Drosophila melanogaster: one gene and its partner. The protein of the gene in region 1 interacts with the protein of each later gene in a pairwise test. Each region holds a gene or a part of one and is shown on either strand. Other genes may lie near its edges.

What was found. The genes of interacting proteins can lie anywhere in the genome.
Region 2: the proteins of CG42326 (region 1) and Mlp60A interact in a two-hybrid assay, tested with the Drosophila melanogaster proteins (one large-scale study listed by BioGRID).

The regions. Positions count from the first base shown.
Region 1 is NT_033778.4:8,581,766-8,586,615, reverse strand, and holds the start of CG42326 (uncharacterized protein), read left to right. Parts: upstream 1-1,836; 5' UTR 1,837-2,023; intron 2,024-2,305; 5' UTR 2,306-2,450; intron 2,451-2,517; 5' UTR 2,518-2,991; coding exon 2,992-3,121; intron 3,122-4,296; coding exon 4,297-4,432; intron 4,433-4,529; coding exon 4,530-4,850.
Region 2 is NT_033778.4:24,072,751-24,078,723, reverse strand, and holds Mlp60A (muscle LIM protein at 60A), read right to left. Parts: upstream 4,123-5,973; 5' UTR 3,655-4,122; intron 3,551-3,654; exon of another isoform or gene 3,526-3,550; 5' UTR 3,502-3,525; coding exon 3,387-3,501; intron 3,276-3,386; coding exon 3,116-3,275; coding exon of another isoform or gene 3,112-3,115; exon of another isoform or gene 2,770-3,111; intron 2,544-2,769; coding exon 2,441-2,543; intron 2,379-2,440; coding exon 2,282-2,378; intron 2,222-2,281; coding exon 2,125-2,221; intron 2,071-2,124; coding exon 1,774-2,070; intron 1,667-1,773; coding exon 1,346-1,666; intron 1,287-1,345; coding exon 1,016-1,286; 3' UTR 501-1,015; downstream 1-500. Other genes in the region: CG10339 (uncharacterized protein), read left to right, coding at 1-390; Gpat4 (Glycerol-3-phosphate acyltransferase 4), read right to left, coding at 5,393-5,696, 5,763-5,973. UniProt on the Drosophila melanogaster protein: Positive regulator of myogenesis.

The DNA.
Region 1 (4,850 bases):
AAAAAAGAAAATGCAAATGTTCTAACCAATCTTGCTATTTTCAGTCCAAATGATTTTTATTTATAACTTGGCTTTTGGGCAATCCCCATTCTCTTAATGACTCGCTCAGAGGCGTAACCTCTGCAGCGCCTTAGAATTCCTCGGAGTTCCTGGTATGCAAATTAGCCGCCACAATGAGCTCATCTTGCCTTCAGCGAATCCCAGACGAAATCCCAATCCGCTTCTCCTGCCTCTGCCGAAGTCGACGGCGGCGTCTACGTCCACCGCGACAGCGACGGCTGCGCATGCGCCTGCGCAGACTGCGGCGCGGATTTGCAAAGTCGATGGCGAGGCGCTGATGAAGAACAACCCCGGCCTGAATTAGACGGCGCCAGCGAGCATGACAAGGTCGGCACTTAAAGGTGTCGCCAATTACGGGCCTCACCTCCCGACCTCCCAAACTCCTAGCTTCCAATAGACCAGCCACCCGTTTGGGGGGGTCTTCATCTACTTGTATGGTTTCCCCATCTTTCGAAAATCTCTTTTTCGAGTGTTTTGTGAAAACTCGCTCGAGTTAACGCTTCAGTTAAAGCCCAAATGCACTTGTGGGCAGTGCCAGCGTCGGTGGGTGTCCGTTAAATTTGAATTTCACACCGCTTAGCGCGCTCAGCAATGCGGAAAGAAAACTCTCCAAGCGCCAAACTGAAATTCTGGGATTCTTTGCTTCAGGTGCTTTAGGTTCTGATTCGACTGCTCCACTGATTCCCGGCTTCTTATAGCCAAGAATTCTCTCTCTAATTGCATCAAAAGAAACTCAAAACACATACGAAATAATCACGCAAATGTGCCTTTGTTTTGATGTTGGCACAGTGAAGAGTCTATGAATTCGTATAAGCGTTTTGGTAAGAGCTTAAAGCCTTAGAGTTTAGTAAGTTTTCACGTTTACATTTTGTGGCGGTAGTTTAATTTTTGTTAACAAATTACCCTACAAAATGCAAAAATGATCTATTTAAATAAATGCTTTCGACGTGACATTGTCTGCTATTTTTAACTATTTTAAATTGTAATGACACCAAAGAAACCAATAAATTTCTGTATTCTATTATTAACTTCTATTATTAACTAACTCATTTTAAAGGGCATTTAAAGTTTTCTAGCAACGTGAGTATGTTTTGCTGTTACAATTTCATTTTAAACAATTTTCGAGAGTCATTGCCAGGATTTGGAGGCGTGGAGCAGGGGGAAACTTGGACGAACCCCCCAAGTTGCTCTTCCCCTCCTCCTCGAGAAACCCCCCTCCCAGCAACTACTCAAGTGGGCGCAGCGTAGGCAATGCTAATGATGATAATGATGATGACGATCTGTAGAGCCAAGCTCCATCGCCTCTTGTCCCCCCATCCCCTTTCCCATTCAACACCCCCTGCCACCAAACAACTAACACTTGAAGTGAAGTTACCATCTAAATAAACAACTAAATTACACTTTGAAAAAATCTTGCCAACCTACCAAGTATAATTAGCCAAAAAACCTGTTCCCTCTCTGTATCTTTTATAAATATTATGAACCATAATTTTTAAGGATTTCATGCGAACATATTTGTCCTAAACAATAGAAGAATCTTATTGAAATAAAAATGTTAAGAACAATTTCATAATTCAAATTCTTATTTGCTTATTTTATTTTAGATATATTTGTTACTTGTTGTTGCACAATTAATCTGAGTGTGGCAACAACAATTCACCGATAGAGATGCTTACCCGCTGCCTCTGCCCGCGGCGCTGCCGCAGCACTGTCGCGTCTGCGCCGCTTTCTGCTCTTCCGATGAGTTTCGAACACAACTAAATCAGAATTTTATTCAGTTTCAATTGTTTAGCGAGTGCGGATCGGCGTCGAGTGCGCGAAGCAGCGAAAACAAGCCAAACCAAACGAGACGAGCCCCACAATAAAATAAAATAAAATAAAATAAAATAATACAAATAGTTGAATTAAATCAAAAAAAAAAAAAAAACGAGGGGCAAGGAACTAAGAAAGTAAATTAAATTAGGTGTGTACTGCTGAGGCTTTCTTGTCATTAGCGAAATTTTGAAATCTTCAAAGTGTCAAAGCGCGACGGAAATGCCGTTATATTCGCTACATTTCCCAACATAATTTACCGCGCCCCAAAAAAAGAAGAAAGTCGCCGGAACAATCTAACAATTTTCACCAACGAAATTGTTTTATTTTGGTTCTGGGAAGAATTCTTCGCTCTTAATTAATCATCAAGATTATTAGCGTAATGGTTTTTTGTTTCTGGCAACTATGAGCAAATAAGTTATTATTATTTTAGGTGATTTTGGCATTCAGATGGCCTATGCTGGATTTACGCATTGATGAGCACTTTGTCATTCGGGTTTTTAATTATCGGCCAACTTCCAAAACTTTTGGTCGAAAGGTCACAGGCACCTGTGCAGTGAACTCTGACGTCATCGCATGTAAGAAGGCTTCGCAACGCTTGGTTAGCCAGGTTATTGACTCTCGCCCTCCCTCTCCCACTTGAAGTTACAGGCCGGACCACCATCATAATTATGTGAGTCGGCTTCTTCCGCAACCGCAGAATCTTAAGCCGCCTCTTGCCCGCGAACCCATAAATAAAGCCGATCTTGGCTCATTTTAACGATCTGCATATTTTGGCAACATAATTAACGGTGAAAAGAATGTGAAAAGTAGCGAATCGTAACGCGAAAGCCCCAATCACAAAACGAGAAGAGAAAGAAATACGCGACTGCAAAGAAAGGCGGAAGAAAGAAGCAGAAGGCTTCCACGCGCCACCAGCGAGTCTCCATCTCTCAGTTCGAAATCTCGCGTCCATCCCAGCGGTGCCTCAAAGCAAATCTTCTGGCCAGAAGCCCAAGTGAAACCGTCGATGATGCAAAAAGGGAAGTGCCAAAAGAGGCGAGTTAAGTGAGAGCAAATCTAAAAGAAAGCATCGTAATATCGAAAAGCGCCGCTGGGGTTATAAACTAATCGGACCCCATGATCGCGATCAGCGATAATTCGCTTGGGCAGCGATTAAAACGCCTCCAGCTGGCATTTCTCCTCATCGCTCTTTGGGATTCTACGAGGGCACTGACGGTCGACAATCAATTGGTATCCGCAAGAAATGGTAAGTGAAATATTGCAAATTAGTGCTCACAGCTACCTATACAAAAACGTATATTTACAAACGGAATAACTGTCTTACAATTTATACAAATTGTATGCTTTATTTTGGTTTTTTGTAGAATACAATTCCTAATTTTAGAACCTTATTTTCATCGTCATTTGATACGTGACACGATTGACTGCTAGATTCATTTTTAAAGCTTAGTAAATCATCTATATACTTTGTATACCACAATTTTGGGGCTTTTTATATATGGCCTACTTAAAGCGTTTATGAACAGCACTTAAACGCTTACAATTGGTTGTTAAAACCGGCTTGATAATTTTTTAAGAACCTTTACGAGCATTATCTTTGGTTATAAAAGAGTGCTTCTATGAGCCTTTGCTCGGGCTATTGAATCATTCCCGTAGTAATGTAAATCATTGGGATATAAAATATACAATTTTTCCATCACTTTAAAGTGGGATTCTAGGATTCTATTTAGAACATACATTTCTCGGTGATTGGGTACACCGTATAATACGAATATGTATAAGGTTCCAATATCATGCAACTCCAGATTAAAATGAAATTTAATTACACCCTTAGTTAATTGGACAACTTAACAATTTTGTTTTTATTATTACAACTATTGTAATCACAAATTCCTGGACATAGTGTGCTCATGTTTAAGCTACTGACTAAAAATTAATTTGAATTTCACTACTTTGGAAACATTCAAATATTCTAAATGAGGTAATTTCTTGGAAAAGAGCATACCAATCTAATAACCATAGGCTGGGGGCCAATCCATCAAGCATGTCAGCCCACAAACACCGCAGAGCAATGTGTTTTGTTTATGGTTTGACCTTTTTGAATTATTCATGCACTGACAAAAATTCTATGGGTCACCACCCAAGTGCGCCCCACCGGCACGCAAAGTTAATAAAATTCAAATTCAAATCCAAATCCGAATGGAGAACAAAGCCAGCGAACAATCGAAAAGAGACAATTGCAGAGTCAATAAAACTAACCTACCGTAGAGTGGACGAAGTGGAGCACCAGCGGTGGCCTTGAAAGTGCAAGTGGGGTGACGCAATTGTTTAGGAGCCAAAAGGAGTAGGGGGTGGAGTTGCTTAACTGCCAGCTGAACCTTTTGTAATTGCGATCTCGCATTTGGCATCTTGCATCGACAGACTGCTTCGAGCGGATTGCACTGGAGGCGATGCTGCCATTTGAGAAGACCTTCCGCACCGAAGACACCAACTCGCTGAAGATGTGCAAGGAGAAGTGCCTGCAGGCGGGCGAGAAGTGTCAGGCCATCTCGTTCGGGTGAGTCGTCTTCCACCTGTCACCCCTTGATTGCCCAATTTCCATCTTATGTATATATGTGTTTTCCTTCTCCTTCTTTTTTTTTGGAATTTTGCAGTGTTCATCGACGCGGAAACGGCACTTGTCAGTTGTCATCGGAGCAGTACGGCTCGGGGGGCGGCGGGCGTCCGGGGGGCGTGATTTTCGATCCCGACTTTGATCTGTACACGCGCAAGACGAACTGCTTCGACTTGAGCGACAACTCGATTGCCGCTGGTCCGCAGCCCGTGCCCGGTCCCAGTCCCATTTCACCCGGACCGACGCCACTGGATCTGCCGAACAGGCCCTTGGATGTGGGCAATACGCCAGTGCTGGTGGTCAACCCCACGCCACACACTTCGGGGAGTCCACCGCCTCCGTTGGGACCGTCCCTACCGCC
Region 2 (5,973 bases), about 15 Mb from region 1:
GTGCCCAAGTACTTCGACCAGATCTTCGTGTGGGGCAATCCCTACATGACCAACTCCGTTGACTGGAAGTCGACCGACAAGAAGATCGCCGACATCATCATGACCCTGTGGGCGAACTTCGCCAAGACCTCGAACCCCACGAAGTCGAACGTGTACGTGAAGTGGAACGCCATGACCCCCAATAACGATTCAGTGCTTCTGATCGACGAGAGCTTCAACACGGACAACCTGCTGAACAACCAGCGGATCAACTTCTGGAGATCGCTGTACCCCAAGATCCTTGTCTTCTCCGCCGACTGCTGCAACTCCACGTTCTCGGGCAGCGGCCTGGTGATCGCCACTTCCGTTCCCATACTATGTACCCTTAGCATTATCGTTAATATATTTTGAATAAAGAGCTCCTGCAATAGATGACGCTTTGACCCTCTCCAAGTAATCTGTCCTACCGTTACTTATTACTTATTATATAATAAATATTTGAAAACAACAGAACCACATGTACAAAGTTACCACTTGTCGTTTATTAGTCGTTCGAAACTTATAGGATATTGATTTGTTGCTACGACTGCCATATATGTATATCATATCATAGGGAGTAACTCAGAAGTTCAAAGGATTTCGAATGGCGGTATCGATTGAAAATGGTGTGCATTTGCATTTGCACACCAATCCTTTGGATTCTTGGGCATCCTCGATAAACAAGGTTTGGAAATTCGTTTTCGCAGGTTTTACGATGAAGTTCAAGTCGAAGGTTAGAATGCATTTTTCGGTACTTATGTTCGAGACTTATACAATTTCTATACTAACCACCGCCAACTCATTCGCCTTCTATACTTTCATAACTAAATGTCGTTGTCTTGGAGCTAAAAGTACACTCTTGTGGAATTGCAATACTACACCTATTCGTCATCCTCAAAAATGTGGGCGCTCAAGGACTGAAATCCCCAGCACGAATCTTGGAGCTTATTCCATGCTGGTGGGATTAGTTCTTGAACGCGCTTTTTTGGTCGAGTTGTTAAGCCATTGTCAGTGTGCCAGCTCCGATTCCGTAGCCCACACCCTTTGGCCCATAGAACTTGGCGTAGCACGATCGGCAATAGATGCCGCCATCGGGTCCGTCGTTCAGATTGGTCGAGTCCAGGTATTTCCGGCACTCCATGCAGTAGAAACAGAGCTTGTGCCACACGTTCTTCGCGCTCTTCACCTGTTCCGCGGCGAAGACCATGAATCCGCATCGCGGACACCCGTTCTCCGACTTTTGTCCGTTGCGATCGATGGTTCCCCAGCTGGAAGAAGAGATCCTTGGATCCAGACGAACTCTCTTTGAACTGGACAACGGACTTACCAGCTGGGCGTGTACTCGTAGTTGGTGGACACCAGGGTGGGCGTGTGTCCGTACCCGACGCCTTTGGGGCCAAAGAGCTTCGCGTAGCAGAGCTTGCAATAGATATTGTCATCCGGTCCGTCACAGGCGAGCACCGAGTCCAGGGGTCGGGTGCACCTGGCGCAGTTGAAGCACTTCCTGTGGTACATCTTCCCCTTGGACAGCTGCAGCTCGGCCGCAAAGACCGCTCCGCCACATCGGGGACATCCCTCGCCGTCCGGAGCCATGATCGAAGTGGTGTCCGGAGCCACAAAGGGTCGTTCGGATGCCAAGTTCTCCTCACTGTAACAAATCTCTTTCAGTCAAATTATGGATTGGATTTTGACGAATATGATTGAAAGCTTGTTTTATCCAAATTCAAGATGAGCCTTGGAATGGAAACCACTCACGTAATGCCGTCGGTTTGCAGGAAACTGGATCCACAGGCGAATCCGTAGCCATGGGGTCCCCACTTCTTGCCATAGCAAGTCTTGCAGTAGACCTCATTGTCCGGACCATCGCACGCGATAATGGAGTCCAGAGTTTTGGTGCAGTCCCGACACTTGAAGCACTTCCGGTGCCAGCTCCTTCCCTTGGAGAGAACTTGTTCCGCGGCGAATACTACGCCGCCACAACGTGGGCATCCTTCTCCGATTGGCGCCTGGATTTGCTCCACATTTATGATGGAGGCTTTGGGAGCCATGTCGCTGCAAGCACCAACATAATAACCTAGCCAGAATTGGTGTTACTACTAATCTCACCTTTGCCACTCGCTATCCCTGATGTCGGACATCAACCCCAAGGACGAAATGCCGATGTGCCCGTAACCCCTGGCCCCAAACTTCTGAGCATAACATCCTGAAAAGCGAATGCTTCTAGAGATCCTAATTCTCTAAAATCTATGGGTTGGAAATGTACCTCTACAGTAAATGTCCTTGTCCGGACCATCACAGTGAAGAGTTGAGTCTAGAGTCTTGTTGCATTGCACGCACTTAAAGCACCTTCGATGGTAACCCTGCGATAAAGAACACCACCTAAGACAAGGGCCGACGGACCGAGATCGTTTCAATAGTTCACCTTTCCTCTGGCCAGCATCTGCTCGGCGGCATACACATATATGCCACACCGTGGGCAGCCCAGCCCGTCGGGTGCTTTTGGGGGAATCTTGGGCGGAACGAATCTAGAAAGATTCAAATGCCTCCCTCAATTACGGCGCTCTCGGTGGACATCCAATGTGGGGGGGGGGGGGGGTTGTTTCATCTTAGTCACACACAAGACGAGGAACAAAAGTCAGAAAGGTCGGTCGTTGTGCCCGAACAAAAAACGAATTGGGGAAATACACGAAATCCACATAGACAGCAGCGAGGGAGATGCGAATAGAAACCTATAAATAACATGTGAATAAGCTTACAACTACTTTGTTTTATTGTACATTTATTTTATCAATTTACAGTCCGCGGACGTTGTAAACAAAGATACAAGAATTATTTCACCAAAGACCACAATGTGTTTGCTAGTTTAACATTAACAATCGGTTAGTGTTAGTGGAATTTTCCAGGGAATCAGAAACTGGATATCCCTGGCGGTTTCTGCCCGGAAAGTTAAAAACAAATTTTTCGGTTGCTTTTTTGGGGGTGGGCGTGTGGAAAACATTGAAAACATACAGGTTCTAATAGAAAGCAAAACTACACATTTAATTCAAGGAATTTTACACAATTTTCATACAAAACATATTTCTTATTTAGTCCTTACTCTCTGTTTAAGTGGGCGCCAGTGTCCGTGGACAGGCAGCCGGCACCACCACCGAAACCGTATCCCTTGGGACCGTATTTGCGACCATGGCAGTTTTTGCAGAAAAGCTCCTTCTCGTGCTCCGTGCAGTTGGTCGAGTCCAGGGCCTTGTTGCACATGCCTGAAACGGGCGAGTGGAGGGGGAGGGGGGTAGGGTTTTGCGTTAGCTATCCGACATCCGACTCGAAGGACCAAGTCCAGACGATCTGGCTGGCAGGACATTTATACTTACTGCACTTGAAGCAGGTCTTGTGGAATTTGTAGCCTCCGGCAACGCGCTCCTCGGCAGCGTAGACCGACTTGCCGCACGCGGGGCACTTGGGGGTTTCAACGGGAACGAAAGGCATTTTGATCTGAGTGCGTGTGTGTGTCTGCGGGGGCAAAAAACTGTGATTATGGCAAACTGCAGCGGCTATGCGTGTGGTGGATCAGCGCGATTCAATTATATACACACATATATATATGTATATATATATATATATAATCCTAAGGATATATACCTCGGAGGTACTCTGTGAAGTAGTTCCTATTCGTCGGAAATGCCGCGGACTAGACTGGAAAGATTCTGTACACAGGTAGTCTATATTTGTGGATGCACACGGCACAACTAAGAAAATACAGTTTGCGTAATAAAAACAGCACTTTCTGAATATATCATTTATTTATCATGCAATGCCCACGGCTCTATGTATGTGTACTCTCGGCTATATCCACGCCCCGATGTCTCATTCCTGGGCTGGTAACAGACCAGTTAGACTAACTTGGATTACTATATCTTCACCCACTGGGAAGGAATTTGCCTCGTCTTGAAGTAATTTGTTTTGTTCTACTGCACTCTCAAGTGCGAGGCATGCAAGATTTTTGGGGAAAAATCGAAATATATAATGGGCTGTTTCTCACGAAGGTTCTACCCGTATAACCAACCAACTAACCAACCAACCATCCATCCAACCAACTAACCCATATGTAATCTGATTTTACGCAACAATTAATTTATTAGCTTTCGACACGCACACCAAAATCCGCGCAGATGTAAATATGTATGTTTGTAGTCTAAAAATATATGCACACCCATGCGATGTGTATCAAAGTACATTCATGGCCTTATTTTAAACTTAGAAATTCGAAAATAGCTCATAACTGCTCAACCCAGATCCATAAATAAACCCATTACGCATTGATCGCTCGATCGGAATTGGAATCGGATTTGGAATCGGAATCGGATTTACATGCCATAAAGTGTTCGAAAATAGGTTCCAGTTTTCGAAAGAGCGTTTTTGGAGAGTGGATCGAGTGGCCAGCCACAAGTGTTTCAATTGGGGGGCCAAACGAATATGCACATGGATATGAATATGAATATGGATGTGGATGTGGATGTGTATGTGGATGGAGTGAAGCATCTTTTCATCAGCGCCTGCGATGCCCATGTATAAACATATCTATAAATAGAGGGGCTCTGGGTATTTGTTAATTGTAAATCGCTCACTTGCGATTGGCAATGAGCCTAACAATTTATGAAGGCCAGGCCCATTGACTCGACAAATCTGACAATGTGGTTTGCTTTGCCAGCATTGTTTATCCGCGTGCCGATCCGATCCGATACCACCATTATTTTTGGCGACAGTTCAGGGTTAGTTCATCGCCAAGAATGTCGGGAATTAACCACTCGATCGACCGATCGCCTCCAACTCGGAACACGGAAGTATGTATGTCTTAATTACCTGTATGGGTGGACAATTAGTGCAAAATAGACATTTGGCGCAGCGCTGAGTCAGCCACTCGTATTTATTATTAGCCGCATAATTATGAATATGTAATCTAGTTATTCGCCATCTTGTTGGCTTCATTTGGCTCCGCTTAACTATGCATGATATGCAGGTGGCCAAAAATCAACATCCATAGGTTGCTGACCTGGTCTCGCTCCATCCAACAAAGAGGCCTCACCTTCGAGCCCATTCTTCGCCAGAGTGTGGCTGGCGTTTTGCATGACAAAGAAATGAATTTACAGCGATCGGGTCCAGATGTTATGATAATCAGCTTATCAGATATCGTTTATTTTACAAAGTAGATAAATTAATTAATATACAAATAATTATTATAATTGTACATTTGACTTCATCTTTTATTTAACCATCCAATTGTTAATCGTAATTTATACAAATTACAGTCGCTGCAATACAAATTATGCAAAATCATGTATGTATATCATTTACAGTCACTGTATGGTAATATGGTAATTTAGGTGGAGTCCGACTTCAGCCGATTGGCAAACTCGACTTGCTGGATCTCCCTCCACTCCTTCTTTGGCTTCATGCGCTTCAGCTGCCCGTCCCAGACCAGATCAATCAAACCTCCCTGCTTCGCGATGACACTCTTCACGCGGTTCGCGAAGTCGATCGCCGACTCTCCCTCCTGCCTGTACATCGGCGGCAGGTACCACACATCGCACACGATGGCCCACGAGGTCATCATCATGTACAGATACTGCATCATCGAGTACTTCGCGCTGTTCCAGAAGGCGTCGCCGAACCTCGGATCGTACCTTCAAGCCAAAAGAGACCCCACGGATGAGAAATGGTTTCGCCGCGAAAAACTATTCACTACTCACTTAATGGCCACCGGGTAGATGACGCCGCCAACTTCGAAGCTGCCCTTCTTGAACTGCATGACCGACGTGTTGTTGATGCAAGTTCCCTCCGGGAAGATAAGGATCGGTGGGTTGTTCGGATCAGACACGTGCTGCTTCAGTCGCTCGGCCACCAAATGACGATCCTTGGCCTCGCCGCGCTCAAACCAAATGTGGGGAGATGCGCGGGCCA